Alligator mississippiensis: one gene and its partners. Each later gene encodes a partner of the first gene's protein in a complex. Links are inferred from orthologs where the notes say so. Each region holds a gene or a part of one and is shown in the gene's direction. Other genes may lie near its edges. The genes, in order: PRIM2, PRIM1, POLA2 and POLA1.

Evidence for each region.
Region 2: the proteins of PRIM2 (region 1) and PRIM1 are in contact, whole or in part, in a crystal structure (PDB 5EXR), measured with the Homo sapiens proteins. The link is inferred for Alligator mississippiensis from reciprocal best matches to the Homo sapiens genes PRIM2 and PRIM1. Residues at the interface, in NP_000938.2 of Homo sapiens: Glu165, Ala168, Ser169, Pro171, Ser172, Phe188, Ala189, Leu192, Phe195, Arg196, Gly197, Arg198, Val200, Tyr201, Leu202, Glu203, Asp204, Gly205, Phe206; in NP_000937.1 of Homo sapiens: Lys147, Glu148, Asp149, Phe150, Gly151, Phe152, Ala180, Val181, Gly184, Ile185, Glu187, Tyr188, Ser190, Leu191, Lys193, Lys207, Ile208, His209, Pro210, Ile212, Arg213.
Region 3: PRIM2 (region 1) and POLA2 share a complex: the UniProt entries of both Homo sapiens proteins name them as parts of the alpha DNA polymerase complex. The link is inferred for Alligator mississippiensis from reciprocal best matches to the Homo sapiens genes PRIM2 and POLA2.
Region 4: the proteins of PRIM2 (region 1) and POLA1 are in contact, whole or in part, in a cryo-EM structure (PDB 8G9F), measured with the Xenopus laevis proteins. The link is inferred for Alligator mississippiensis from reciprocal best matches to the Homo sapiens genes PRIM2 and POLA1. Residues at the interface, in XP_018121015.1 of Xenopus laevis: Pro34, Pro35, Thr36, Glu37, Asn38, Ile39, Ser40, Leu41, Ile42, Phe44, Glu45, Ile49, Ile107, Phe110, Ile111, Leu114, Cys117, Gln118, Ser119, Glu120, Asp121, Arg123, Ala240, Arg241, Leu243, Val245, Val246, Gln247, Arg251, Leu252; in NP_001082055.1 of Xenopus laevis: Leu842, Lys853, Ile894, Pro895, Glu896, Leu971, His974, Arg977, Glu978, Leu981, His982, Glu985, Gln988, Lys989, Asn991, Glu993, Asn1007, Asn1009, Arg1101, Asp1102, Glu1106, Gln1109, Glu1221, Asp1224, Gly1225, Asp1227, Ala1229, Leu1230, Met1233, Trp1234.

The regions. Positions count from the first base shown.
Region 1 is NC_081824.1:51,528,142-51,535,755, forward strand, and holds the start of PRIM2 (DNA primase large subunit), read left to right. Parts: upstream 1-4,602; 5' UTR 4,603-4,617; coding exon 4,618-4,768; intron 4,769-5,596; coding exon 5,597-5,700; intron 5,701-6,705; coding exon 6,706-6,785; intron 6,786-7,614. UniProt on the Homo sapiens protein: Regulatory subunit of the DNA primase complex and component of the DNA polymerase alpha complex (also known as the alpha DNA polymerase-primase complex) which play an essential role in the initiation of DNA synthesis.
Region 2 is NC_081838.1:6,989,138-6,996,490, reverse strand, and holds the start of PRIM1 (DNA primase small subunit), read left to right. Parts: upstream 1-4,349; 5' UTR 4,350-4,408; coding exon 4,409-4,511; intron 4,512-4,593; coding exon 4,594-4,751; intron 4,752-5,030; coding exon 5,031-5,137; intron 5,138-5,225; coding exon 5,226-5,299; intron 5,300-5,605; coding exon 5,606-5,742; intron 5,743-5,893; coding exon 5,894-5,952; intron 5,953-6,361; coding exon 6,362-6,471; intron 6,472-6,740; coding exon 6,741-6,832; intron 6,833-6,935; coding exon 6,936-7,080; intron 7,081-7,162; coding exon 7,163-7,232; intron 7,233-7,353. UniProt on the Homo sapiens protein: Catalytic subunit of the DNA primase complex and component of the DNA polymerase alpha complex (also known as the alpha DNA polymerase-primase complex - primosome/replisome) which play an essential role in the initiation of DNA synthesis.
Region 3 is NC_081838.1:4,021,852-4,029,504, forward strand, and holds the start of POLA2 (DNA polymerase alpha subunit B), read left to right. Parts: upstream 1-4,643; 5' UTR 4,644-4,714; coding exon 4,715-4,799; intron 4,800-5,072; coding exon 5,073-5,200; intron 5,201-7,653. UniProt on the Homo sapiens protein: Accessory subunit of the DNA polymerase alpha complex (also known as the alpha DNA polymerase-primase complex) which plays an essential role in the initiation of DNA synthesis.
Region 4 is NC_081824.1:315,569,792-315,577,363, reverse strand, and holds the start of POLA1 (DNA polymerase alpha catalytic subunit), read left to right. Parts: upstream 1-4,565; 5' UTR 4,566-4,700; coding exon 4,701-4,728; intron 4,729-7,572. UniProt on the Homo sapiens protein: Catalytic subunit of the DNA polymerase alpha complex (also known as the alpha DNA polymerase-primase complex) which plays an essential role in the initiation of DNA synthesis.

The DNA.
Region 1 (7,614 bases):
AAAGCTAGAAAGGTGCCTGCAGCTATATACGAGGCTGCAAGCAAGACTGAACACGCCACGTTTCCAATTAAAGTGCCCTACAAACCCACCACAAATATGCTCCACATGAAGGGCCCTACTACAAGTTCAAATTAAAGCTGGGTAGAAACTAGCTACAGAGTTACACATTCTCAAGCATTAACTTTATAGTTGGTTGGCTCTTTGTGTAGCTGGATAGTCATTTTTAGCATGTTATCATTACTTTGCATGTGTAACGGGTCTAAGTGTATTGTGCAGTTAAACAGTTAAGCATGTAATATTTATAATACGTAGCCGGGTCTAAATGTCTCACATTTTTATGGTACAATAAATTTGTTGAATGTGTAGCATGTTACAATTTGGTGTGTGATAAATGTAACATCTACCAAGGGCCTAAGCAGTATCAAAGAATGCACAGAATGACAGACTTCTTTATCTCTTCTTTCATTGATTTTTAAAAGGCATTAGACAACCTGCACAGACATACATAGTTGAACATCCTTCAGTCCTGTGGAATCCTAACTGAAGTTATCAACATCATCAAGGTCTTCTGCAGGGATAAAATATTTTGTAAGGACCAATTACCAGAAACTAGAGCAGTTCAAAAAAGATGTGAAACTGAGCTATGTTTTCTCTTTGCTGCTATCAAATATTACTGTAGACTGGATAACTGTAGACTGGATAACGAAGCCAACACAAACACAGGCAGTAGTATGGGTAAGTGGTAAGTGTCTAGAACAGCAACTTAAGGCCTGGGGGTCAAATCTGGTTCACCAAGCAATTCCATTCAGCCTGCAAAGCTAGGACACTAACAGCAGTGTGGTGGTAGTAGGGAAGTGGTGGCATATGAGGCTGTAGACTGTCTGCAAGTCAGAAGCTTCAGGATATCCTTGTTTTGACTCAGTACCACTCCGGACATTTGAATGAAGCAGTAAGTTAAGCGTGTGGTAAGGTAAGACTGATATTGTAGTGGTGATGGCCCAAAAATTTTGTGAGGTCTTTTGCTTCTCACATAGAAGGTCTTGCATTCAGAAGCTTGTCTAACTTCATCTCAGCTACATAGTTGGTCCAGTAAATGATATCACCCTAACAAATCCTCGTCTCTTGCACGAAGTAAGCAAAGGTATGTGGCAAAATATATTTGGGGTGGAACTTTGCCTGAAACATCATGAGACTGTCTAGTTTGACCATTTCCCCAACCTTCACTGGCCTCCGAGAACAATGCAGAGCTAGTAACTTGTTGAGACACATCACAGGTAGTCAGCTCTTCCTGTCAACCTCAGCTGGTAGTGTTGTGCATTATGACAGTAACAGCAATGGTTAGCTGTGGGCTTGGCAACAACATATGCAACACACATTAGATTACTTGAGTAGAGGTATGTAAAATGAGCATTAACGCCTCTTTGTTTAAAAATACAATATTTAGGTAAGCTTAAGCTAATATATGTATTGCTCCCAAAGCACCAATACCTGTTAAACAACATTTCATTCTCAAAGATAAAATTCAGAAAGAGAAATTCCCTGAGCAATGGAATGCCCCCATGTTCATAGAATCATAGAAGTAGGGTCAGAAGGGACCTTGTAGATCTTCAAGTCCAACCCCTGCCTGGGCAGGAGGAAACTGGGCTCAGGTGACCCCAGCCAGGTAGGCATCGAGCCGCTTCTTAAAGACCCCCAGGGTAGGAGCCAGCACCACTTCCCTTGGAAGTTGGTTCCAGATCCTAGCCGCCCTGTGAAGTAGTTCCTACAGATGTCTAATCTAAACCTACTCTCCAACAACTTGTGGCCGTTATTCCTTGTTATCCCGGGGGGCGCTAAAGGAAACAAGGTCTCCCCCAAACCCTTCTGGTCACCCCTAGTGAGTTTATAGACAGTCACCAGGTCCCCCCTCAGCCTTCTCTTGTGAAGGCTGAACAGGTTCAGGTCCCATAGCCTCTTATTGTAGGGTCTGCCCTGCTGTCCCCAGATCATGCGGGTGGCCCTCCTCTGGACCCTCTCAATGTTGTCCACATCCCTCTTGAAGTGGGGTGCCCAGAACTGGACACAGTACTCCAGCTGTGGCCTGACCAGTGTCGCGTAGAGTGGGAGGATCACCTCCTTGGACCTACTTGAGATGCACCTGTGGATGCACGATAGGGTTCGGTTAGCCCTGCAGACCGTGACCTCGCATTGTCGGCCCATGTTCATCTTGGAGTCAATGATGACTCCAAGATCCCTTTCCGCCTCCGTGATCTCAAGAAGGGAGTTTACTATCTTATAAGTGTGTTGCCGGTTACTACTGCCCAAGTGCAGCACCCTGCACTTGTCCATATTGAAACACATCCTGTTTTTGTTAGCTCACCCTTGCAACCTATCCAGGTCTTTCTGCAGTCTTTCCCTCCCTACTAGTGTGCCCACCTCACCCCAAATTTTGGTATCATCAGCAAATTTGAACAGGTTGCTTTTCACCCCATCATCCAAATCGCTGATAAAGAAATTGAACAGTGCGGGCCCAAGGACCGAGCCCTGGGGGACTCCGCTGCCCACTTCCCCCCAGGTCAAATATGACCCGTCCACCACCACCCTCTGAGTATGACCCTTTTGCCAATTAGCAATCCATCTGACCATGTAGACCTTGATGCCACAGTCGCCTAGTTTTTTAATGAGGATGGGGTGAGAGACAGTGTCAAAGGCCTTGCTGAAGTCCAGAAAGACTACATCCACGGCGACACCTGAATCACAATGCTTTTGTGACCTGATCGTAAAAGGCAGTCAGGTTGGTCTGACATGACCTGTCCCTAATGAAACCGTGCTGGTTGCCCCTGAGTTCAATGCATGGACCTGTTAATAGGTTCTGACACTGCAACCCTTTCAAAATAAAGAGAACGTATTTAAAAAAAAAATATATATATTCTAGAACTGGTTTGTATTCTTAGATTTTATAATGAAAAATATAATTTCTGACACTGCTGGAGTGAGAAGCGAGATAAGATACTGACTTCAAAAGTTTTCCAGCCTCATTTATTTACGAATCAGAACATTAAACAAAAATCACCCTTTAGTATTTGAACGAGAGCAGTTTGTGGCTACACTGTCATGTGCACAGAACTGAGAGTTGCTTTACAGTTTATCTACTGGCCATCAGGCTCCTGGTCCTGGTTTCCAGAGCTAGCGCATTCAGATATACAAATTGTCTTTGGAGCATGCAAAGGTTGCCATGCTCTGTGAACGTGGTTCAGGCTGCAGCTCTGGCTTTCCATGCACCCCTTCCTTGATCATTTGCTGTGTTAAGGAAGCTGGTTAAAGTGAGGTGTGACAGAGAAGTGTAGAAAGCAGGTGCTGGGAAAGGAGCAGGAGAGGACCCAGCAGTTCACACGTGCAGTGCATCCAACATTTATTATTTTAGAGATTGTGGGCCATGAACGACATGTGCCCTCCCAAGGCTGGGCTGGGGGGGGGTGCACAGTGACCACCTGCAGGTGGTGGCAATGGTGGGGGCGTGGTGGTGGCGAGCAGGGAGCTCCCACAGGCAGCCACAGCAGCATCGATGGCGGGCGGGGGGGCAGCACAGTGGTCAGTGACGCTGCCGCCAGCAGCATCGGTGGCAGTGATCAGCAAGCACCCACAGATGTCGGCGGCGGTGCACCACCAATCTCAGGGGTGTACATGCACCCTCTATGCATTGCCAATGTTGTTGGCAATCCCTTGAGTGGAGGATGATCTCTATCGTGGGTCCAGTCCTTGAGCCACAGATCTGCCTGTAGAAGTTGCAGGTCTTCCTGCAGGGGAGGGCAGGCCTAGGCTAGGATCAGGGTTTGAAATATGGGGGAGGGGGATGACTGAGTCCCCCTATAAGAGATGAGACTCCCCCACCCAGCGCCTTTCGAAGCAGCTCAGGTGCCACTGCCTGCAGACCCCTCAAAGCAGGAGTGTAATTCAACCTGGCTAGGCTACGTTTCCACACGCATGTTGCCGGTTGCTGCCCCCTTTGGCTGGGGCACCCCTGTTGCACACTGCCTCTGCTTGGCCTACACGCTCGTGGGACTGCTGTCTGCATCCAGCACTTGCACCAGCTCTCTTCGCCCAGCGGTTTTCAACCTTGGCATCCCCTCGGCCCTTCATTTGCACTCATTTTCCCGCGACGGAGAAGTAGTACGGCAGCTCCTGCCGGTTCTCCGAGCCGGGGGCCGCGCAGGCGGCTTTGCCCCGGAGGGCGCGGGAGAAGGAAGCATAGTCTCCGCTAGCGCGCTAGACAAGCCGTGGGCGGACCGTGTCGCTGTGTGCGGCGGGCGCCGCCATTTTGCTTGTAGACAAAAAGGCTCGTCTCGCCCCTTGCTCCTCCCCGTCCCACCCTTCCATGGCGCGGCCCACGCGTTCCGCGCGGTCAGCCAACCCAGCGAGGCGGAGTCAAAGGAGCCCGAGGGTGGAGCTGGAGGCGGAGCAGGCGCCCCGCCGGGACAGGTTGGGGGCGGGGCTAGCAGCAGGGGCGCGGGAGGGGCGGAGCCAAGGGCGGGCTGCCCAGCCGGGGGGCGGAGTCAGGGGCGCGTGACGCGGAAGCGGGGCGGGCCTGGCGGCGCGCGCGGGAAGCCGGCGCAGTTGTTGCTGTCGGGGCGGGCGGGCATGGAGTTCTCGAGCGCGCGGGGCCGGCGGCGGGCGGCGCGGGCGGGCGGGCGCGGGCGTTACCCGCACAGCCTGCAGTTCTATCTGGCGCCGCCGGCCGAGAGCGTCTCGCTCGCCGAGTTCGAGAGCTTTGCCGTGGACCGCCTGCGCCGTGAGTGGCCCGGGGCGGCTGCGGGCCAGCAGCGCACGTCGGGGCGGGAGGGGCTCTGGTGCTTTGCCCAGCATCGGCAGGGCCTCGCTTGCCGCCTGGGGCCCCTGTCAGCCCTGGTGGTTGGGGCAGCAGGGTCCCGGCCGGGGCTGGGGCCCCGCCGGTCAGGAGTTGAGCAGCCCTGACCTAAAACTGGTACGGGGGGTGGGGTAGGTGAATGTGAAACACTTGTCTCCCTCCTTCCCTGCCTCAAATGGTTTTTAAGACCTGGGAGATAAAGCCTTAGCTGGGGTTATCTGGTTGGGGGTGGTCCTGTTTTGAGCCGGGCATTGGACTGTATCAGTGGGTCTCAACTTTTTTTGTACCAAGCCCCATTTGTAAACATGGATGGCCAGTCCCCACCCAGTGAGTAGCTGAAGTAGAAAACAGCCCCCTGGTCCTGCTGATGCACTCAGGACCCCCAAGCCCCAGCCCCCAGGTGGGGGGCCAAGCAGCCCCTTGCAAGGGAAAACTCACCATTTCTCATGTGTTTCTTGGTTGAAGGAGAATCCAGTTTTAACATTTGTTTGCAACCTTTTCATATATTCATGCTACCCATGGGTTGAGAAAAGCTGGACTAGATGATCTCCTGAGGTCCTTCCCAACCCAAATTTTCTGTGCTTCAATACTGTCACATTTCAACAAAACCAAAATTGGGTAGAATGCTGGGCTGGCCTGCCTTCCCCCCTCCCTCTTCTCTTTCTTTAAAACAATAATTAGATTTCTGTTCTATGTTATACTAGGTGCTCATACTGCTTTTTGTTTGTGGTTTTTATTTTTAAATTACTTTAGTACTCAAAGTAGTTGAGAATCTTGGTGTGAAATACCTGAAAGGTACTGATGACTATAAAAGCAAGCTGGAATATGAACTTCGAAAACTTAAATTTCCATTTAAAGTAAGTAATTGGAACAAGAACCTTTCCTACCTTTGTGTCCACATTGTATCTCCTGTGGAAAATATATATATATATAAAAAACAGCCTTAGTCTGTCTGTCTGTAACGGGTTATTTGCACTCAGATTGGTTGTCTGAAATAACCAATCAGAGTGCTCCAAGAGCATTCAGTACAGGAAGTGTCAACCAGAGTGCTGATGCCATGATGGAGGGGACAGAGAAGATGGGTGTGAGGCCAGGGTGGAGTGGGCCGGGATGAGGAGCGGGGTGGGACATGGGGCTCAGTCCCTGCCTGCCCCGGTCATTCTTGATGGGAAATTTGCTAGTTGTGAATAATAATACACTTAAAGAATTTATATGCTGCGCACTACATTTGAGAATTCAACCAATTTTATACACGCAAGTTTTCCTTTTTTTTCCTGTATAATTTAAATACAGTTTTTGTTCTTACTTAATTGGGTCAGTCTGGAATCTTTCATTTGTACTGAAGTTAGTGCAACTAGAGTCTGCAAGATAATGCTCTGCAGTCTGTAGGGCTTTGTAATATGAAGAATAAATTCTAACTTGCTGTTTTCATGTAGCAGTAGTAGCAAAAGGATAGCTACTGTAGTAATTAATACCTTGTGTTACCAGGGGTGACTGGTGCCTCCCAAGTTTGGGGAGTGGGGCACAATTTGTGAGTGGACCCAGGGGTGGGCCAAAAGCCTCATATCCACTCTTATACTGTGCTGTGGCTTAGTGCCTCCCCCCAACATGCCACCGGCCCACATGGCAAAAAAACTGCCCTGTCCTGCATGGTGCCAAGTAGGGGGGCCAATCTCAGGGAGGGGGCATGCCTCTTGTCCTCCCCCCCCCCCAGTCACCTGTGTTACAGTTTACGAAGTATTTAAGGATAAATATCTTTGAGTTATGTGATGTGAAAGTTGAGGTTTAGCATTTAATTAACTTTTTTAAAGTTTAATTTTCTGCTTTAAGCTGATGCATGTCCTCTTTTATGAAAATTACAGGCTTTGGCTGAAGATGATTACGATGCAAGGAGGAAAGACCATATCTCTCATTTCATACTGCGTCTTGCTTATTGTCAATCGTAAGTGTGTTTTTGAGTTAGTATGTATTTTAATTTCTAGCATGTCGCTAAAACTAACGTGTGATGGCTGGTCATTAAGAGACTACCCGAGTCAAAGAAAAGCAAAGATGCGGTCTCAGTTTCTCAGTTTACAAACTTGGTCAAGAAAAATTTCATATTTGAAGTGTGATGTGCAGGATGAAAACTGGAGGATAATTATTTTTATACACAGGTGAAGCATAAATAGATATCACCACAATTATTATGTACCAATTCAGTGTGTTTCTTTAAAAAGCATTCAGGATTGATTAGTCTTCTTCATTGGCCTATTATGTACTCATTGATAGTCAGGGTTGAGTGCTTTTGACTATTGTTCCCAGTATTAGACAGGTCACTCTCTAAATACTGTGTGTCTTACATACCATACCCATGCACCTTATTTTTGAAAGGCAGAATGAAGAAAAAGAGGCTTTCCCTTGAAAGTGCTGTAAGTATGGTATTTTTGCAGGGAAGACACTGGCAGCTGGATTTGGGATGGAGGTGGGGGTGAGCAAAAACCTGTGGCTGCTCTGTTAACTACCTTGCTGCAGGATGTGGCAGGCACTGTTGGCTGAGCTGAACTTCCTGAGTCCTCTTTCTTCTCAAGCTGAGGCAGAGGAACAGTCAGCTGCACTGACTGAGTCAGCTGAGAGCTCACCCACTCAAGGAGTGAACAGTTTGGCTCTAATAAGATCAGGCCCTCACCTGACTGTAGGTGCTACTGACTGCCCACTCAGCTCAGCTTGAAAAGAGAAGAGGGGCTAGGCAGTTTGACTCATCCAGCAGTGCCTGCCTTGTCAGCTTAGGGCCC
Region 2 (7,353 bases), on another chromosome or scaffold:
GGGGTCGGGGCACCCTCCCTAACAACAGGGCAATAATTAACTGCCCCGGACTCCTTCATCACTCCCAGCTCCAGTGGCCACTTATTAATGAGGTTGCAGCCTTGTGCATGGGGCTTTCTATGGGAGGGAGAACAGTGTCCCAGCCAGCAAGGGCAATACGGCCTAGCCTGGTATCAAGGAGAGATCCAAGTGGGGCTTGTGCTGCAGACAGTAACAACCCCGTATCCCTACCATTCCCCACACACATCAGTTAGGAGCTCACGCATGACCTGCGTTAGCCTCTGTATTACCAGACCGTGAGATGTGACCCTGGCGTTTGCTGCTCTTCAGGGAACACGGAAAATCAGGCTTCCTCGGGGGAAGGAGTCCTTGCCCTCTTGGCCTGGCAGGCAGACTGGATTCAGTGGGGCAGTTCCTTTATTGTGGGCGCTGCTGTGAGCGGGATGCTGTGGCGCCAGGCAAACGGGACCGGGAGATATGCCCTGCCCCACTGAGCTTACAGTCTAGGAGCGAGAGCAGGTGGGCGCCAGCAGGCAGGTGGCAGAGGGAGCCCCAGGAAACACAGCGTAGCTTGGTACAGATGCAGGGCAGCGGGGGGCAGACCAGGCTGCAGCCTGGCGCAGAGCTCATACGTCCCATGCCGCAGCCCCTCGGGGGAAGACACAGCCCCTGTCCAACGTGCCCACTCACACCACTGCTGCAGCTTTGTTGCAGAGGCTGCGGGGAGAATCGGTCCCCTGGAGCTGGGGCCTTTTGGGCCACGAACGGGCTGGGCTGGTTCTGCATGACCTTGGACATCACTGGGGTCCCCAGCATTGCACAAGCTCCCCACTGCTTGGCTGTGTTTATTCCCCAGGCAGCTCCTAGAAGCCACCGTGCGGGTCCCCGTTTCAGGAGCTGCCCTGAGCTCTCCCTTTCTCCCTGTTGCAGAACAAGCCCAGGGGAACCAGAGCTGCTACCTGAGCCCGAGCACCAGGGCCCTGCCCAGCCCCGGAGCGACAGAGTCCCACCTACCCCAGTGCAGTAAGTCCCCCATACTCAGCTGCTCTGCCTGTCTCAGCATGGCTAGCAAGCGTCCTGCAGTGCCCCTGGGAACTCCTCCGGGTTTTCTTTGCACACTAACTGCTTGTTAATCACTTGTTACCCCCTCCCCACAAGTGTCTGCAGGGTTTGGTCAGAAGCATTAAGCCGAGGAACCCGGTCCCTGGCTGTAGGGAGTGAGGGGCTTAGCTCTGCTAAGTGGGGGACACAGCTCCGATGCCACCCACCTCTCAGACTCCCCCTACCTCCTATTATGCAGCCTGGGCTGGTTTGGGCAAGACCAGGTCAGCACCAGGTCGGCCACAGCCGTGGGCATGTAGGAGAGGGGGATGAAGAAGAACTGGGCGTCCCAGCCGCCGGAGTAGCGGGTGCGGGGGTGCTGGGCGGTCAGCGCGTGCTCCACGCAGTCGGTGACCAGGGGTAGGTTGGAGCTGCACCCCTTCTGCAGCTTCTCCTGGGACAGCCTGTAGACTGAGCAGAGCCAGGGTGGGGGGTCAGCCCGGGGCAGAGCCTTGGGCATGGGCAGGCACGTGCCCGAGTCTGCAGACAGCCTGTGGCCAGGGTCTGAGCAGGCTGGCAACATGCAGTCACTTCTCTCCCACCCACATGTACACAGACACGCTGCAGGGGCACTCAGCACGCAACACTCACACCCAGCCGTGTTCTGCTATGGCTTCCCCCAGGTCACTGCCGCAGGGCTCCTGGGAAGAGCTGCATCCTGCTAAATGAGGGTGAGCCCTCCAGCAGTGCTCACTGCGAACCGGCCCATGCAGCCTCGGGGAGGCATGACGTAGCATGATCTGGCGTGTTGTATGTAGCCGGCAAAGGGGGCTGTTTGGATCCTGCCATGCACACATGGTTCCTTTAAGGGGTGCTCGCTGCTTCAGGAGAAGAGGCCCTGGCTGCAGGGCGGTGGAGACAGCAGGGAGCAGACCACAGACAATGTGCTGGCCCCTCTATTGCCTCTGGAAGCACCCCCTCCCCGCTGACTCCCCTCGCCCCGAAGAGGACAGAACAGTGCTCACGGGTCTCGAAGTACTGCTGCCCGTAGCTCTCCCGGACCTCCGGCGAGGCACACTGCCATGCCTGCTTCAGGCAGCCCAGGTTGTTCTCAATGTGTGTCATGGGCGTGTGGAAGTAGCCCGGCTCCACCATTGCCACCTTCACCCCGAAGGACCAGAGCTCGTGCCTGGGACAGAGGCAGCCGTCACGCCTCGCCACAGCCCCACAAATGCCTCCCGTCCCACGCCGTGGCCCGAGGGGCAGCCCGTGGCCCCGCATTACCTGAGTGAGTCGGAGAAGGCCTCCACACCGTACTTGGAAGGGCAGTAGCCACCACCACAGAAGGCCAGTCTGCCCAGGATGCTGGCCACGTTGACAACGCGGCCCCGGGCTCTGCGCACCAGGGGCAGCAGGCTCAGCGTCACCTCGATCAGCCCCACCAGGTTCACGTCCAGCACCCTGACGAAGTCAGCCTTGCTCAGCCACTCGTTGGGGGCCACTGGCAGCACCACCCCGGCATTGTTCACCAGGCCCCAGAGCCCTGCGGGGTGAGGGCAGGGAGTGAGCCTGGGCAGAGATGGGACGGGAGACTCCCCCACTCGGGCACGAATCCCAGTGCCGCCAACATCCTGGCCCTGGGCTTACTGCTGAACAGACCCTCTGAGACCCTCCTCTGCCCTCAATGTAGCGCTTTCGCCCTATGATGTGGCTCCACGCCAGAGTCCAGACCCCCCATCGCTCCCCTCCAAAGTGGGACACAGCACCCAGGAGTCCTCGCTCCCTTCTGCCGGCAGCTCCTTTCCCCGTTGCCCCCACAGAGCCCCTCCTGTTGGAGCTCAGAGCTGCCCCGGAAAAGGCAGGAGGAAACACAGAGGATTTTCTCCCTGCACCCCAGTGTCACCCACCCCGGACTCGGGATGCATCGTGCCAGGGATACAGCAGCCTCACCTCGGTCCCCCACCTGCCCCTTCACCCAGGCAGTGGCCGCGGCAATGCTGTCGGAGCGAGTGACATCCAGGATCACCGTCTGCAGCCTCCCCGACGTCGCCTGCCGCAGCCGCTCGGCCCCCTGCTCCGTCAGACACGCCGCCAGCACCCGCAGCCCCCGCCCGTCCAGCTGCTTGGCCAGCAGGTGCCCGAAGCCGGAGTCGCAGCCCGTGATGAAGACATGTTTGTCCGGGAGGTTCCCGACCGTCTGCCGCTCCCGGTACCATCGGCACAGGAGGTACAGCGCCAGCAGGGCCACCAGGTACAGCCACATCTTCACAGGCGTGGGGGAACAGCCACCTGAGGTCAGAGCTGTGTCCAAATGCGACCACCTCTGGGGAGGTTTCCAGCAGCTCCTCGCAAGTCATCAATAGCTGGGTGCCTGTCAGCCTGGGAGGAGCTGGCCCAGTCAGGCAGTTGCAATTCAGCACTGGACTTTTACCCACTATGGAGGAAAATATTGTTATTCCCTTCCTTCCCCAGCCTCGCTCATGGCCAAGAGACCAGCTGCAAGCTCTGGAGCAGGCATGGGGCATGGGGACCTGGCACCCACCTTTACCCCAGGGTACAAGTGTGCCCCTTGGCAGTAACACAGGGCAGCTCACCGCTGGTAATCTGTATCTCGGCTTGCCCCGGGGATCCCTGCCCCTTCCCGTGCCCATCCCCTGGATGATCCTAGTTCTGGTCACGCCAGCTTTGGGCTCAAGATCACTCCTGCTTTTCCCTTTGGGGTCACCCCTGACGCTGGGATGTCTGGGGGAAACCAGACAGAACTGGGGCCTCCCCACCCCCCCCCCACTTACCTGCCCTAGCTGCCTCCAGCCTGGAGCTGCCCAGGGCAGGGGTGGTTGATGCCTGTGCGAGACCACCCCAGGTACGGCCTGGATGCAAACCCCCCATGCTCCCCCACCTGCCCCCTGTGCCACTTGGCTCCGGCTCCAACGCTTTTCCACAAAGCCACTCATCTGGTGGCGGGGACACTGTCCTGAGGGCTGCTTGGCTGGTGGCGGGGTCACGGCACTGCCCTGGGTGATCATTAATCGCCCTGGAGGTCAGCAGGTCCTGCCTAGGGCCGGCTCTACCCGCGGCCTCGGGGCCAGGGATTCATGGGGGCTGGAGGGCAGCAGCTCCTGGGGTCGGTCCCGCGGCCCTGCCCCACGCTGCACGTGGGGCCGGGATCAGGGCGGTGCCCGGCGCTGCGCGGGGGCGGAGCGGTGCTCGGCGCTGCACGTGGGGCCGGGATCAGGGCGGTGCCCGGCGCTGCGCGGGGGCGGGGCGGGGCGGGGCGGGGCTCGGCGCTGCACGTGGGGCCGGGCCCGGACTACAGCTCCCAGCCGCCCGGGCCGGGGCCGGTTTCGCGCGCGCCGCCGCCGGGGCCATGGCGGGGTTCGAGCCGAGCGCCCTGCCCGAGCTGCTGCCGCTCTACTATCGCCGCCTCTTCCCGCACGGGCCCTACGGCCGCTGGCTCGGCTACGGAGGCGGTGAGTGCGGGGCTGCGGGCCGGGCCGGGGCGGGAGAGCGGGGCCGGGGACCCGGGCACCGAGCCGGCGGCTCCCCCCGCAGTGGAGAAGAACTACTTCGCCCGCCGCGAGTTCTCGTTCACGCTGCGCGACGACATCTACGTGCGGTACCAGAGCTTCGAGCACCCGCAGGACCTGGAGAAGGAGCTGCAGAAAACCTGCCCCTACAAGGTGGACATCGGGGCGGTGTACTCGCACCGGGTGAGTTGGGGCACGGGGCTGCCTGAGCTGGCATGGCGCGCTGCCCTGGCCCCGTCTGCGCTGGCAGAGCCCGGGCGTCGCGGTCTCTCCCCGTGTCGGCGCCCGGCGGAGAACCCGGAGTCGGAGGCCTGGGTTGCAGCAGGGGTCACGGGGCAGGCGTTCAGCTCCAAGGCAGCCGGGCGGGGGCTACATCTGCCCCCAGAAGCCAGACGGCTCCGTGGGGGACGTGCGGGGTGCGGAGCGGCGGCCCCCGGCGCTGACCTGTCGCTCCCGGCCCAGCCGAGTCAGCACAACGCACTGCGCTCGGGGGCCTTCCAGGCCCAGGAGAAGGAGCTGGTGTTCGACATCGACATGACCGACTACGATGACGTCCGCGGGTGCTGCAGGTACTCGCCGGGGCCTGGAGGCCGTGGGGGTGGGTCAGCACTGGTGTGTCCAAAGCCAGTGCCATCCCCATGGCCTCCCTCCCTGCAGCTCGGCCGAGATCTGCTCCAAGTGCTGGACCCTCATGACCATCGCCATCCGCGTCCTCGACCGAGCACTTGTGGGCAAGTACCCATCCGTCAGGGTCCGGGGGGTGCAGCACCGTGGTTCCTGGTTGTATCAGGGTAGTTGTGGCGGCTGCAGGAACCCAGTTGCCCAGTTGGGGCTCTCAGCACCGCTGTCCTGGGCCCAGCCTTGCTTACTGCAGGACTGGGGGCTGCGGGTCTGGAGTTAGGGGCACCAGAAGGGCTGTCCGGGAGGGGGGCAAGGGCTGCAGGTTGGGAGTCCGGGAGTGAGGGGCAATGGTCAGACTGGGGGGTGCTCCTCCCCCCCAGCAGGCCCTGCCTGACCCCACACCTTGTGCCCCACAGAGGACCTGGGGGTGCAGCACCGCCTCTGGGTGTACTCGGGCCGGCGCGGCGTGCACTGCTGGGTGTGCGACGACACTGTGCGCAAGTGGTCCTCCTCGCTGCGCTCCTCCATCGTCGACTACCTCAGCCTGGTCAAGGTGCGGCAGGGGGTCTCCTGGGGGCTGCATCTGACCCCAGTCCCCCATTGCAGCTGCTCCAGGCAGGCCAGGTGCTGGGAGCTGTCGCCTGGCACCCGGGCCTGGGGCAGATTTGCTCCATCCTGACCATCTCCTCTTGCTCCCCGCCCAGGGTGGGGCTGACACTGTCAAGAAGGTGAATCTCTCTGACCCTGTGCACCCCTTCATCAGGTTAGTGCCCCCCCATGAAGCCCCTTGACAGGCCCTAGTCGTGGGCCTGATTCACCCCAGTGCCAGGACCACTCTGCCCTGTGCTGGCAGCTCCCTCCTGCCTGACCTGGGTGCCGCTCCACCCCCGGGGACCAGGCGTAGTAGACAAGCTTGTTGGGAACAAGGCAGCAGGGATCCAAAGAGACCCGTTCCTCTCTGGAGGGCAGTAGCTCCCTTATGGCCTCCCCTCAACCAGGGTGGGGGTGCCCCCAAGGGACCCCTATTGGTACCCCCCACAGCTGGAAATGTCCCCGCAGTCCCAAAGTAGGCACAGACTTGGCCAGGGGAGGGTCCCAGCGTCCTGGGAGCGGAGGGCCGCAGGCATGGCCTCCAGGGAGCCAACCCCACCATCCCGTCTGCTTCTCCCCAGCAAGTCGCTGCGCCTGGTGGAGGAGCGCTTTGAGGAGTATGCACTGCTGGGGCAGGACATCCTGGGCAGCCGTGAGAGCTGGGACAAGGTGCTGGCCCTCGTCCCAGAGCATATCCTTCTGCCCAGCTCCAGCTGCCTTTCACTTTGCCTGGGGAAGGGGCTGGCAGCGGTGGGGGCTTGCATGTTTAGGGCCAGAGAAGCATGCAGGGGAGAGCTTGTGCCCGTGCTTGTGTGCACATGCTCACGTGTTGACACATGCTGCATTACAGGCTCTACATCTGTGTCCATCTAGTGCTTCGGTGCAGACCTCCGTGCTTCCACGCATGGTTGAGGGGGTGGGGGGTCCATGCAATGTTGTCAGTCCTTAGCTGGTGCCCACCCCTGCGCGAGCAGCTGCAGCAGGATTTTCCCCGGAAGCGTGACTCGGTGCAGCGCTGGGCCCGGCTAAAAGCCCTCGTCGAGAAGTCCAGGGTGAGAAGCTGGGGGGCAGGGGGCACTGGGAGGCTGTTGAGGGGGGCAGGCCACTGCTGGGTGCAGGGGGAATTCAACTGTCCTTGTTTCCCCGCCCCCACAGCAGTCCTCAAGCAGCTCGAAGAAGCTGCCATCCTACGCAGAGAAGGAAATCATGCTGCAGTTCTGTTTCCCACGCCTGGACGGCAACGTCAGCAAGGGCCTCAACCACCTGCTCAAGAGCCCCTTCAGTGTCCACCCCAAGACAGGTACAGCCCAGGGGAAGGGACCCCCAGGGCAGGGAGTGGACCCTGGTGAGCCTGGACATGATGTGGACTTTGCCCCCGGCAGGTCGCATTTCAGTCCCTATCGATGTTCAGCGGCTGGACCAGTTCGACCCCTTCGCCGTCCCCACCATCAGGTAGCTGTGGGTCACTAGCCCCTCTAGGCTGCTCTGCCCAGCCCCGAGCGGGCCACCCCAGCAGCAGAGTGGCCTTAGGGGCTTCTGGTCAGTCCCCTCCTACTCTCTGGAGTACCTTGTA
Region 3 (7,653 bases), on another chromosome or scaffold:
TATGAATGGTGCTAGCTTCCCTGAGATCATGAGACGCTGAGACAGTTACAGCTGAGCTGTGACAGCGGGTACCAGATGAAGTTCCTCCCCCACAGTGAATAACTTGGGAGACAGAAAATGGGCTAATTTGGAACAAGCCGTTTTTGTGACAGAACGAACATTTTGTGCACGTTTTATTTTATTGAAGCTTCAGAAAGAGATTAATCATAAACAAATCTGAGTTTCAGAGGCTGGGGATTTGGGATATTGTTGCCAAGTAAGAATGTTAAATAAGTTTCAACAGCTGAACATTTTGTAGATGCCAGTGCCAAGGTGACAGACTGATCGAACAGTCATGCAACCCAACTGGCTCTTTGACAAGAACAGCGATTCTCAACCTGGGTGACATGGCACCCTGGGGGCCCTGAACATTCATTTCAAGGGTGCTGTGGGATGCTATGCAATGTTAACGCTAAGTGTGCAGGCATAATTCAACAGATAAACCCAGAGAGCATGTCCATATATGCAGGTACGTGCAGCTGCAGCAGCTCAAATAGCAACGGGGCAAATTTGTGCCAGAGATTTTTGTGCCTCAGCACACGTGCCTGAACATGCACTTTGGTGTGGGGCAAATTATGCCACTTAGGACAAACTGCCCAGCTCCTCCTGGATCTTCATCTAGAGGGGAACTAGAGGCTCACCCATGCTGGCCCCAGCAGTATAAAAAGCTGCCCTAGCGACTCAGGGCTACTTGTCCTCAGGAGTTTCTGAGGCCTGGCCAGTTGGTATCTGGGGACACTAGTCCCTTGTGCCAGCTGGGCTGGTGAAGCAGCCCTAACCTAGATGGGCCCCTGACCCCTCTACCTACTGCAGCAGTCTGGCAGTGGGGGCTGCTGCCCAGCTGTGACCTGCTGCCTCCTATGATAGCATCCGCCCCCTTGGACCTGCGGCTCCATGGCTGCATGCCTGCCAGACCCAGACAGGGACCGTGCGGCTGCCTGGGCTGTGCTATGGGCACTGTAGAAGAGCCACCTGCACCTCTGGGCCAGATGCCAGCGGGCTGTGGCTACACAGCTGCCCTTCAGGTGGCACTACTGTCATGTCTTGTGGTATCCCCACTCTACCATCTAGGCAACTGTTGCCCAGAAGATGTGCTCCTTGCGGTGGCCCACTTTGAACTATCAACACGTGTTCTTCCGGCCCCAATTGGCCAAGAGGACAGCCACCTTGTCTGGCCTCCAGTTGGGTCCCTGTGCTGGCCCTGGGCAGGCTCCTCTGCCCAGGTCCCGCCACTTGCCTCACCAGCAGAAATCCTGGGTTTCCCTGTTTAAAAATCGCAAATTCTCTGATAAAAACACCCAAATTCTCTCATTAAAGTACTCAAAATCTGTGTTCTTTCACAATTAAAATAAAACGCCACTATATCTAGAGAGATCACTTAGGCAATGTTTTACTGATATATTCACAGTTTTAAGGCAATTTGGAAGCCTACCAGTGCCTTTATCATCATAATAAAACAAATTCTAAAGATCTAAACAGTTTGGCATTTGCTCCTGGTTTTTTATCATAGAAAAATCAGAGCTGCCTCCGCCCCCTTGCTCAGGGACTGGGTTAGGCAAGCCCCTGCTGTTGGCGAGTACCAAAATTGTCCTGTAAAAGTGGTAGGAGTGGGCCTAGGGGTCAGTACAGTCAAGGTCTTGGAACATATCACTATTTGTTACATTGTAAAGTGGGTTCCCTTCATGCGAATTCGAGTTATGCACCATTTTCCAGGAACACAAAACAAGGGAAACCTGTACCATTTAATAATACAGCTTTGTGCAATATTTTTTTAATCTTGTATTACCTTGTGCTCTCTGCTACCCTTCATTTCAGGATCACCGCGGCCTTTTATAAACAGCATTTAATCTTTATGTGAGTTGTATTTCCTCTGTGTTTCCAGGGAGTGTAATGTAAGTGAGGTCACCCATACTTTGCATTCAGCAGTAGACAAGAGTCAACTCCAGAAACCCCAGCTCCCTGCCCTGCGTTGCACTTCCTTCAAATTCTTGGTATCAGCTGAAACACAAAGCTGCTCCTTTGTACTTTTAATCTCCATGCAGAATTTCTACTTTACAAAACTTTTTAACAGGTAGGTAAGATATGGATTCCCAGCACATGCCAGTTGTATAACCAGCATTTTTCTGCTGAAAGTACCTCCTGCTTGCTCTAACGAGGACTTTTCAGTCCTAACAAGTGGATGATACCAGGATAGGGAGGCACCTGGTAAAGTAACTAAATTAAGAGAGATGTAAGCTTTTGTGAGCCTGACCTTAATTGCCAAATAATTAGCCAGTATGGTTAAGTGAAACTTTAGTTTTCAGGTCATTAATTGTCCCAGAGATGACAAGGCTTGGAAGCAGGGGTTCAGAATGAAAATGGAGAGCATAGTAGACCTAAAACCAGCCTTTCATTTAGTCTAGAGCACTCATGGTCTTTCCCCATAGCCCATTCCAAAAACAGAGAGCATCCACAAAACACCAACAGGAAATGTTTACAGCGGTGCAACAGTGACAAAAAACTGGGTCTTACCTTTCCTTCTGAAGACAGCAAGGCTTGACATCATTCTTTTATTTCTTCTGGATGAATTTTTGGAACTCCAGAAGCTGCTGTCCCGTGCTCTTATAAGCATAGTAATCTCAGTGACCAATCACCTTGGTTGGATGAGTGATATTTCCAGACCCTGCACTAAAAAAGCAACCCCACAACCTTTGAAATAAATGCTGATTCAGCAGGAAGGCACTGATATTTGTCTGCTGCTGATGTTATGTCTTGTCTTGACAGGATTGCCTTTGTAAGGCACCAGGATGTTGCATACCACCCTGTTCTCCTGGGCAAAGGGGGCCTTGCCAGCTCCTTTAGTGGTGTTTTCTGAGAAATTATCATACCCAGATCAGGTAAGCAGCATTGCCAGTCTTTGAAAGGCCTTTATTTAATACTGAGGTTGTGACCCAGTCTTGGCCTGGGATAAGAAACAGCCTAAAAGAGACTGTATGTCAGGAAAGTAATTTCATATTGCCACCAGACAGCACGTCCTCCTTTTTTGGCAGATAGACAGGTTTATTACTGAAACGCCCCTGTCGCCTTGCCTTGCTGACAATCGGCCACCTGAGAAATTTCAATCTGGTTTTCGTTTCAGGTCATAGCTCTGAGGTAGGTCTCGGGAGAGTCTCCTGCTTAATTTATGCCCCCTGACTCTTGTGCTTATTAGGCTGTTGTCATCCTGTTTGATCCACCAGGATCTGTTCCACCATCCACCGTGACTGAATTCTGCTTGTTCATGGTGGTTCCACGTCTGTTGCTGTCCTTCTGCTCCTGTCACATCTCATTACATTGCACCAGAGGGCTCCCTTGGACAGCACTTCCTTCTCAGAACAGACATCCAGTATTTTGCAGTCTGTGCTGTCAGCGTTAAGCAGGTGCACGGCTTCATTAGTCTCTCCTGATGCACTTGCTGTCCCCCTTTCCCAGCTGTCCTCTTCTGAACTCCAGCTCAGTATTTAAGAGGAGAATCTGAATTTTATTGGAGCCTGACCAGATCAAACATTGCTCCTTATATGTAAACAGCACCGTACCTGGGGTCCTGGTGGCCCTGGGCGAGCTTTTAGTGTCAGGGCCCCCTTTGCCAGAGATAATGATAACAATAATTTTTAAAAGATCATTTTCTGTCCAGGATCTGGGCAGCCGCTCAGTTCACCTATGCCTGCGTCCAGCCCTGTATGCGAATACTTTCTAGACACCCTACATACACACGCGTCTGTTCCTCAGAAGTGGGATTTTGAGACACAAACACGCGCTTGAAACTATACAGATTTCTTCATGCTCAAGCAGCAAAAAGCTGTTTTTAAGTGGGTTTAATCCTCGCCTCCTCGAGCACCTGGATTAAGACATGTCCGCAGATGGAATACAGGCCGCGGACGGTGTTCGCCTCCAAAACAGATCTTTATAGTAGAAAGACATGGATGTTTAAACCAGTGGCTCGTCAATGGATTCATCAAGTAATCTTCCTGGTAGGGGAGCAGCCTGCTGGGGGAGGAGAGAGCCACTGCAGAAAATCCACCCCTCTCTTCAAGCTGCCCTCTGGTCCCGGTACCGGGTGGCGGCAGACAAGAACCTGCCCCGACAGGCGAGTTAACAGTTGTAACTGCCCCCCACCAAGGGGCTGGACCCCGACTGCCCCACTGCAATGCCACCTCCCAGCAGGTGCCATCACTACACCTGCCCCTACCCCGCAGCTTCCCTCCAGCTCCGCCAGGGGCTCGTCCCCCTAACTGCCCCACCCCCCTCACAACTGCCCCCAGCCCGCGCTTTTCCTCACGTTTCCCTTCATACAACTGTCCCCTCCCCCGGACACACCCTCGCCCAACTGCCCCCTCAGGGGGTCCCTCACAACTGCCCCTCCCCTACGCCTTCCCGCCTTTTCGCAACGCCCCGCCCCTCCGAGCGCCCGCAGCCGTTGGCGCCGCGCGACCCCGCCCACCGCGCGCTAGCCACGCCCCCTCCGAATACCCCGACACCCCCTACATTGGCTCCCCGGAGGAAGCCGCGCCCCGCGCCCTCTTTTCCCCGATTGGCTCCGCAAAACAGCCCCGTCGGCGGTCCCGGGGGAGAAGCCCCGCCCCCCGGCGCGGAAGTGACGTGCTGTGGCGGGTGTTTCGCCCGCGGACGGGCCGGCGCGGCGCGGCGCGGCGCCGCCATGGGGCCGGTGTCGGCCGAGGAGGTGCTGGACGAGCTGAGTGTCTTCGAGCTGCGCTGCGAGGGGGACGAGGTGCCTGGGAAGCGTGAGTGCGGGGGGCCGGACCCCGGAGGGTTGGGGTACCGGAAGTGGGCTGGGGGGCTCAGGGTGGGGCGTGGGGGGCAGAGGTGCCTGGAAGTGCCAGGCGTTGGAGAGCGTGGGGGCCAGAGCGGGCCGGGATCTGCAACGAAGGGCATGGAAGAGTCACTGGATCTTCTTCGTCTCTGTCCCAACCCCCTTGGCCGCGGTGTGGCGTCTGCCCGCTAGTCCTGTGCGAGCTCCTCCGTGCCCAGGGCCTTTAACACCTCTCTCCTTGCAGTGGTGGAGCTGTGCGCCACGCACAGGCTGACCGCGGGGGACTTGGCTAACGAGCTAATCGCCTTCTCTACAAGCAAAGAGCACCGCGCACTTCTCACTTTGGATTTCCTGACCATCTTTGAACACGAGGTGAGGGTGAGGGCGAGGGGAGGCTGGCTCGCAGGCTTCTCATCCCTGAAGGCTGATTCTTCTACTCTGTTCAGCAACGGGGAAGGCTCTCCTGGAGTCCCGCGTCCAGTTCGGGGTCCTGCCCTTTAAAACGGAGGGGAGGGGGCAGAATGGAAAGAGTCCAGACCCGGGTGACCGAAATGATGAGAGGCCGGGAGACAGGACTGGTGAGGACGGGCAGGGTCTAATCGCAGTCTGTCAGAACCTGGAGGGCCATGACGGAGAAGATGGAGACGGGCTTTTCTCCGTGGCCACAGGGGACAGGACTAGGAGTAATGGCCTCAAGCTGCAGCAGGAGACATTGAGGCTGGAGATTAGGAGGGGCTTCCTGAACAGGTTAGGGACTATTTAGAAAATCTGGATGTATGCAAGTCCAGGGGCCAGATGGGATGCACCCGAGGGTGCTGAGGGAGTTGGCTGATGTGACTGCAGAGCCAGTGGCTGTCATTCAAAACTCGCGGCTCAGGAGAGGTCCCGGGTGATTGGAAAAGGGCAAACATAGTGCCCATATTTAAGAAAGGGAAAAAGGAGGATCCAGGGAACTACAGACCTGTGAGCCTCACCTCAGTCCCTGGAAAAATCATGGAGCAGATCCTCAAGGAATCCATTCCTAAGCACTTGGAGGAGAAGAAGGTGTTTAGGAGCAGTCAGCATGGATTCACCAGGGGGAAGTCCTGCCTGACCAACCTGATTGCCTTCTCTGACGAGGTGACTGCTCTGTGGATGTGCGGAGACCAGTGGATGTGGTGTACCCTGATTTTAGTAAGGCTCTTAATCTGGTCTCCCACAACATACGCACAGGCAAGCTAAGGAAGTGTGGGCTGGATGAATGGACTGTAAGGTGGTTAGAAAACTGGCAGGACCATTGATCTCGGAGAGTAGTAATCAATGGCTCGATGTCTAGTTGGCAGCCAGTATCGAGTGCCCCAGGGGTTGGTCCTGGGGCTGGTTTTGTTGAGTGTCTTCTTCAACAACCTGGAAGATGGGATGCAGTGCTTCCTCAGCAGGTTTGCAGATGAAACCAAGCGGTGGGGGAGGGGAAAGTAGATGCACTTGCAGGGTAGAGCTAGGATTCAGTGACCTTGACAAATTGGAGGATTGGACCAAAAGGAATCTCCAGAGGTTCAACAAGAACAAGTGCAAAGTCCTGCACTTCTGTTAGAGCAATCCCATGCACCAAGACAGGCTGGGGGTGACTGACTAGGCAGCAGCTCTGCAGAAAAGGACCTGGGGGTGACAGGGGACAAGAAGCTGAACAGGAGCCAGCAGTGTGCCCTTGTTGCCATGAAGGCTAACGGCATCCTGGGCTGCATTGGTAGGAGCGTTGCCAGCATGGCAAGGGCAGTGATTCTTCCCCTCTGTTCAGCACTGGGGAGGCCACATCTGGAGTCCTGTGTCCAGCTGTGGGCCCCCACCACAGCAAGGATGTGGACAAATTGGAGAGAGTCCAGTGGAGGACAGTGAAATGGTTTAGGGACTGGGGGACATGACTGGTGAGGAGAGGCTGAGGGAACTGGGCTTATTTAGTCTGGAGAAGAGAAGACTGAGGGGGATTTAATAGAAGCCTTCAGCTCCCTTCAGGGGTGTCCAAAGAGGCTGGAGCTGGACTGTTCTCAGCAGTGGCAGATGACAGAACAAGGAGCAATGGGCTCAAGCTGCAGGAAGGGAAGTTTAGGTTAGATATTAGGAAGAACTTACTCACTAAGAGGGTAGCAAAACACTGAAACAGGCTCCCCAGAGTGGTTGTGGGATGTTTGGAGGTTTTTATGACTCGGGTAGACAGTCTTGTCTGGGATGCTCTAGTTGGGGCTGGTCCTGCTTGGAGCAGGGGGTTGAACTAGATGTGACCTGAGGTCCCTTCCCACCCTCACTTTCTGTGATTCTATGACTGAGGGTGGTGAAACATTGGTACAGGCACCTAAAGTGGTGGAGGCTCCATCCTTGGAGATCTCCAGGAGCAGGCTGGATGAACACTTGTCCGGGATGGTGTAATTGGGGATGATCCTTCCTCGGGCAGGGGACTGGACTAGAGGCTGGGTGAGGTCTCATTCAGCCTGACTTTCCTATGATCCTAAGCTAAGCACCTAATGGAAGGTGCCTTTTGGGTTGTGTTGGCAAGGACTGTGTCTTTCCCAAACTGTGGTCCAAGAGACTGATGCACAGCTTACACAGCATGCTCTCCCCACAGCTCTTTGACAAGGCTGATGGGAAGGGTGCGTGGTGCCCACTGGAGAATTTTGAGGCCCAGAAAGTTTGAAAGCTTTTAGCCAAGGCTCAAAAAGGCTGGGCTTGTGAGGAGAAAAAGTGAATGCAGCAGGGTGCCTTGAGAGCCTTTCAAGGGTGCTGCGGGGTGCTGTGCAACGTTAGCTTCATTAGGTGTGCAAACATGATTTGCAGGATGAACCCAGAGACCT
Region 4 (7,572 bases), about 260 Mb from region 1:
CCCCAGCATCCCGACATGCTCTCTGGGCTGGGCAGGGCTCTCTGCTCCACAGCAGGGCTGGCCCCTCCCCTTTGCTCCCTGGCTGGAGCTCAGCACAACCTTGCAGGCACAGCAGGGTCTGCTGACTTCCCCATGCCCCGCTCCACCCCCCCTCACCACTCACTGCCTAAGCAGAGATCCCTTCCTCCTCTTTGCCACAGCAGGGACTGTAGCCAGCATGTGGTATGCTAGCTAGTGCTGAGAGGTGTTTGTATGTGTGTCTCTCTCCAATTTCACTGGGATAGGCAGACAGAATATGGGCTTTTGGAGCTAATCAACAGGTCAGCCAGTAAGCTGTTTAAGAAGTTTGAAGTAATGTGGAGAGAGGCTATTGTTTTGCTAATTGGGTGGTAAAGACTGTTATTAGCCCCTGTCCCTGCCACCACCCCGCTTGCTCTCCTGTCAGTTTGCTGCAGACAGTATGATGAAGCAGGGAGAGAGATTGAAAACGGATCAACAGATGCATGCACTGCACACTCCCCCTTGCCTCAGAGTGCTAGCCCGGGCTGGGGGTTGGTAATACTCCCGCCTCTTGAGGAGTCAATGGGGAAAAGCCTGGGACTATGCAGAAAGACGTCCCTAATGAGAGCATCCTGCTGGGGCCTGGCCACAACCTCTCAGCTCAGCTCCCTGCAGAAGGGAAGGGAGTGCTGCTCTAGCTCCCCCCCAGCTTCTAGCTTGAGCCACTGAAGGCATGTGCCTGAATTTCCTCAGTCCAGAGAGCATGTCTGTCCAGTTTCAAACCAGTTCGGCCTAGCCATGTTAGATTAACCTGCAAAGATTCATAGATTCATAGATTGTAGAGTCAGAAGGGACCCCGAAGGATCATTGTGTCCGAGCCCCTGCCCCTGGCGGGAAAGAGGACCGAGGTCAGATGCCCCTAGCCAGGTGCCTGTCTAGCCTCCTCTTGAAGACCTCCAAGTTAGGTGACAGTACCACCTCTCTTGGCAGCCTGTTCCAAATTCTGGCCACCCTTACTGTGAAAAATTTCTTCCTAATGTCTAACTTGAATTTACTTTCCACTAGTGTGTATCCATTATTCCTAGTTATTCCTAGGGGTGCGCTGGTAAATAGCGCATCACCAATTCTCTGTTGTCCTCCCTTGATAAACTTATAGGCTGTTACAACGTCTCCCCTCAGATGTCTCTTGTGAAGGCTGAAGAGATCCAGATCCCTCAACCTCCCTTTGTAGGGTGTTGTACGGAGGTCACTAATCATGTGAGTGGCCCTCCTCTGGACCCTCTCCAGATTCTCTGCATCTCTCTTGAAGTGCGGCGCCCAAAACTGGACACAGTATTCCAACTGTGGCCTGACCAATGCCACATAGAGTGGGAGCATCACCTCCCTTGGTCTGTTAGTTATGCATCTGCTAATGCACAATAAGGTCCGATTGGCTTTGTTGATGACTTCATTACACTGCCGGCTCATGTTCATCTTGGAGTCAACTATGAGTCCAAGATCCCTTTCAGCCGCTGAGCTGCTGAGGAGGTCATCCCTCAACCTATACGTGTGCTGGGGATTCCTCCTCCCTAGGTGGAGCACCTTGCATTTGTCTTTGTTGAATTGCATCCTGTTTCGTTTTGCCCATTGATCCAACCTGTCCAGATCGGCCTGTATCCGCTCCCTGCCCTCTGGTGTGTTAACTTTGCTCCATAACTTGGTGTCATCTGTGAACTTAGACAGAGTGCTCTCCACACCCTTGTCCAAATTGCTGATAAAGATATTAAATAACACCAGTCCAAGGATTGAACCCTGCGGGATACCACTGCCCACCTCCTTCCAGGCCAAAAATAACTCATCTACCACCACTCTCTGGGTGCGGTCCCTAAGCCAGTTTGCCACCCACCTGACTGTGTAAGCATCTACTCCACAGCTTGCTAGCTTCCTTATGAGAATAGGATGCAAAACTATCGAAGGCCTTCTTAAAGTCCAGGTAGATGACATCTGCCTCAGCTCCACTGTCAAGGCAGTGTGTTACCTGGTCGTAAAAGGCTAATTGATTGAATCAATTCAGGCTCAGGCTTTTTGAATACCTGTCTCTAGCCTTAGCGGAACCCTAGATTAAGGGGGGCTTTTAGCTTTACTTGATGGGCACTGGCCCTGTGCTCCCAATGAACATCAAATAGGCCTGTCACACAGTGGCAGAGAATGGATGCCAAAAGAGAGAGTGAACTGGGGAAGATCAGGGTTTTTTTTCTACTGTTCCTCTCTCACTTGTAGTCTTCAGGTTTCCTTTTTAAATCTTATATCTGAGAAGCATAGTACAGCAACTGCTAGAAAAACAGAATGCCATTGTGATTCTGGGTGTCCCTGTGTTTGGGGGGCACCTCTATCTGGGGAGGCTTCTCCAGGAAATGTCAGTGTATTTCACTGCTTGGGATGTGAGATCCTGGAATGCAAAACTGGGTGTTGCTAGCAGAGTTTGGGCCTCTTTCAGAAAGGTCTCCCAAACAGAGTTCCCCTTATTCTACTCTCTAGAGTTCACCTTATTCTACTGCTACCAAAAAAAATTGTCCTCCCATTTGGGCTCTTTGCCTGCCAGAAGCTAACATGTGATGTCTGGTCAGTTGTGTGGGTGTACATGTGTGTGTATGTGGGTATACATGTCTGTGTAGATTCCTGTGTGATGTGTATGTGGATATACAATGAATCATAGAAACTGAGGGTTGGAAGGGATCTCAGGAGGTCATCTAGTCCAATCCTCTGCTCAAAGCAGGACCATCCCCAACTAGATCAACCCAACCAAGGCTTTGTCTACCTGGGTCTTAAAAACCTTTGCCGGGTCTGGTGGTCAACATCCCCTTTGTTGCTCTTCCCTCTGACCCTAACCCAGAGACTTTCAACAGGCCTGTTTCCAGTTTCATACAGGAACTCTGAGCTATCATATGGGTCCTTTACATAAAGTGCAACTTCTCCTTTTCTCCCCCGCCTGTCCTTCCTGAACAGTTTGTGCCCATCCATGACAGTGCTCCAGTCATGCGAGCTCCCACCAAGTCTCTGCTATTCCAAGCACTGTATATGTGTATATATGTGTGTGCGCACATAAATACCCCACATACACACGTGTGTGTATACATGTGTGTCTGTGTATATACATATATAAAAATGTGTGTGTATGTGGGGTATGGATATTTGGATGTATATGTATATGTACATATCTGTATGTGTCTGTGGGGGGATGTGTATGTTTTGTTATACACATGTATGTGTGGGGGTGTATGTGGTGTGTGTGTGTCCTTTCCTTTTTTCGGGTTCTTGTGTGACAAGATATTTGGTGGAAGTTGCAGATTCGTTGGTACCTCACAGGGCTGCGCTAAGTGCACTTCTGCTATGGCCTCAAACTTCCAAACTCTGGGCTATTAACCCCGTGCTTTAGCACCTGTGCCACTCCAGCCCATCTGTGTCGGGGATGGAAGGGTGTATGTGGCTGTACATATAGATGTGTGCACGCATGTATATATGTGTGCATGCATCTGAGTGTATGCATGTGCACAGACAGCCACTTACACCTCCACGCATGCGTGCACACACGCATACACTCATGTGCACACACATATATACACACATGAACATGTAGGTGTGTGTACACCAAGTACACCCCTGAAACATAGAAGATGCTGAATTTTAGCTGATTTTGGATTTTAAACTTCATTGCAGAACAACAAGAACGGGTTTTTTTTACCTCCCTCCCTACCATCTGACACCTCCAGGGAAGGAATTCTACCTGATCAACACATCAAAGAGCTACTCAGCACAGCTCACAAAGACACTCTCATGGACCCAGAGGGACAGCTTTCCATCTTCAGCTCCCTCTGTGCAAAAATGAAATTTATTTCCTACCTATGGGGACTTTTTACCATCTTGTACCATCTACGCTTTTCCCAGAGCCTGATGAAGGGACTTTGATCCCGAAAGCTTGCAGAAAAGGACAATTTTTTTGCCATTTTCCAGTTGGTCTAACAAAAAGGTATCGTTTTGGAACCAAGAGTTCTAGTTTTTTGTATGTATATATAATACACACACACCTGTGTGTGTGTGGGTGTACATGTGTGTAGCTGTACATGTAGGGTGTGTGTGTGTGTACATCCCCTACATGTACACCCACACCCCCTACATGTACAGCTACACACATGTACACTCATGCAGATAGATATGTGTATATATACATACATACATATATACACACACACACACAAATATATGTATATATATGTATGTACACACACACATATATATGTATATGTGTGTATTATATATACACACACACCCCTACATGTGCGTGTGATATCTATGCGTGTGGGAGTACGTGTGTGTACATGCATGTATACATACGTGTAAATGCACGATCCTCCCCTCCCGGGCACCCCCGGGCGGTGGCAGCCACTTTCCTCCTCCCATTCCCCGCCCGCCCGCCCGCGCGCGCCGCTCCGTACCCGCCCGGCGGAGCCGCGAAACACAGCATTTCCCCGCAGCTCCGAACGCGCCCGCGCGCCCCTCCAGCTCCTCCCCCTCGACCTCGGGGCGGGCCGGCGGCGGCGGCGGCGGCTGCGGCCTGACTGAGTCTCCGCGGCTCGTGATTGGCTGGCGGGCCGGCCGGGGCGCTGGGGAGGCCTCTCGCGCCACTTTCAGGCGCTTTGCCGCGCGGGACGCCGGGCGACGTCATGGCCGAGAGCGGGGTCGGCCGCGCGGGTGAGAGCGGCGAACCCTTGGCGGGAGCTCGCGCACGGCTTCCCCCTCTCCCTCTCCCAATCGCCTTGCACCGCGCGCGCGGGCGGGTGGGACGGGCTGCAGCGGCGCCTGCACGTTTCTGGGTGGGAGCCCTTCCATGGCCTTGAAACCTGGTGCTTCTTCCTCCTTGCATGCTCTCCCTTGCCCCCGAGCCGGTTGGGAGGGGTTGCACAACGCGTCACTTGTGGGGGTAGGCAGGGGCTCGCATAGATGCAGGTGACCGCAGGCACAGATACACTCCCCCAGACAGGCGCGCACCGCATGGACACATACCTCAGGCAGACGTGTGCACATGCATAGACATGCGTCCAGACGTGTGCTCATGCATATATTCCCGCATGTGCACACATGTGGGGGCACACGTGAGACAGGCATGGAGGTGGGCACACACCTGGGCAGGTGTGCATGTGTATGTAGGCATGTGCGCACATACACAGACACAGAGGTGCATGTGCAATGAGACTGGCGTGTGCACCTGCAGGCACCCATTCACATGTAGGTATGCACAAATGGACACAGAGGCACATGTGCACTCAGATGCAGGCATGCATGCGCAGGCACGTACAGACAGATGCATGCGTGCGCACAGACACACATGCACACACCTCCCTCCTGTCCCCTCATTTGTGTGGGCACAGGTAACAGAATAGCAGCTTGCGTGAGTGTCCCATGTGGGTGCTGGTGCAGTGGGGCTGAGGCTCCTGGCTGCCTTGGCAGCATCACTTCCCTTAGCCCTGGATTTCTTCCTCTTCCTCCTGTAGAATCAGAGCAGCCCAGGGGTTGGGAATCTCCTGTGGGTTTGCTTGGAGGGGAAAAAAAAAAGCTCTGCATATGCAAAGTCTGCTTTTTTCTTTCACATGGCTGACTTGGAGCAACAATTATAAGACCAGTTTAAGGTTAGTTAAACAATCTAATGCACTTGAGGAAAGGGAATGCATCTACAATGCTGCTGTCAAATTTGTATAGAGGGCAGTGTTATGTGGTCCATAGTTTGATCAGGATTGCCACAATCATATTTTGCAAAACTCCTAATATCCCGTTTGTGCATCAGGTGACTGCAGTGGCCATTTCCAGCTCAGATCCGATTTACAGCCTTCCATATTTTCCACAGAAGGTCAAAACCAGGAGGCTTTGTTGTTGGGTTGGAAATTAGGTGTTTATTCCGAATGGTGGTTTCATTCCATGCTTTCCTCCAAGCTGCTGCAAAGTAACTGGTGCTGAAGCACATGCATGCTACATCACACGATTTTTCTGACACTTTCTGTAGCTTCATAATTGCAGCAGCTTGCTAAGTTAATGGTGTCTCCCACCCAGTTCCAGCAGTCTCATCTTAGTGCACATACTACAAGCAGGGCCAGTGTTTTGGGCAACACAAATCAAAATCAGTCCTGTTGAAAATTAAGCAGGTGGTCAAGGTTTGTAAGTGAGAAATGACAGAGCTGATGGTCTTGATGTTAATTCAGGACTGGCCAACTGGCAGCCTGTGGGCTGCATGTGGCCTGTGATTGGTTAACCTGTGATTCACCTGGCCACTGCTTCCTTTATTTTTCTAGCTGCAGTGCTCCTGCTCCCTCCTCTGATTTCTGCTGCTTGGCCCAGCCCCAGAGGGGCAGTCCATAGTGCTGGGGGAGTTGAAGACCCAGAGTTCCCCGGGGGGCATGGTGCAGTGGGGCAGTCCTTTGGTTGTGTAGCTGCAGGTGAAGCAGGGTACCGTGTGCAGTGCAGTAGGGAGCAGGGGAGTGGGGCTGGAGGACACCTGTACAGGTGTTGTGTGCATGGGGGAGCACCCATGCATGTACAGCATAGGGCCCGTGGCTCCCACAGCATGTGGTCCCCACTGGTGCAGTTCCTGACCACTTAGAAGGTACCCTGATGTAGTTCATACAAGTTGCCAGTCTCATCCTTCGTCAAAAAATTTGCATTCTAGTTCGGAGACCAGTGTAGTCTTGTATCTTATTTGACTACATACTGGATTGTCAGAAAACATTTCATACTGTGCATGCATACTTGTGTACCCAAGTTCTGGTGGGAATAATTGTTTCAATATGAATGTTTTTACAGTTTTCTCTCCTTGCCCTTGGATGGACTTTTCAGGTAGTGGGGGACAAGTCACATTTAACTTTTAGCTAGGGTGTTGGACCTATAACGTGGATTAGGGCAAGTCTCGTGCTAGCTTGCCTGCAGAAAACTTCATCTCGTTGGAGCTCGTCTAACATGAACGAGTCTCTACTAATGGGATCTGTTTACTGAATCTGGACCTTTTGTGATAGAACATTTATAAGTCTTTTGCCTTTTACTACATATTGCTTTACCGGCATGAATTTCTGGTCTGTCTACCCTATTGTTCTGTTTGTCAGCCTTTTGTCTCTGAAAAAGAATCATAAAATTTAAACTGGATAATCTCAACAGTGTGATTCTGTTGTACAGAGCAGATGACAGTGACCCCTAAGGGTGCTTGCTGTACAGGCTTATCCTCTCTGTTGCCACTGTGAGGGACCTAATAACCCATCAAGCCACCCTTAAAGGTCCCAGAGGCTGGCTTTTAAGGGTACTATGTGGGGTCATCTGCTCCATCATGGTGGCAGGCTTACCTCACACAGGGAAGGAGCATAATGGCTAGGTGACCCAGGTTACAGCCATTCCACAGTTCCCTTGGATCTCCCTTGGATTTCAGTCTGTTGGAGCAGGAGACAGGCATTAATCTTCCAGTAGGAAGTGAGGAGCTCTAAAACCCTTAGTGTCTTGTGTTAGCTTGAAGCTTCCACAAACCCTTGGCTCAACTTCAGAGGAGAGGGAAGAATTGGG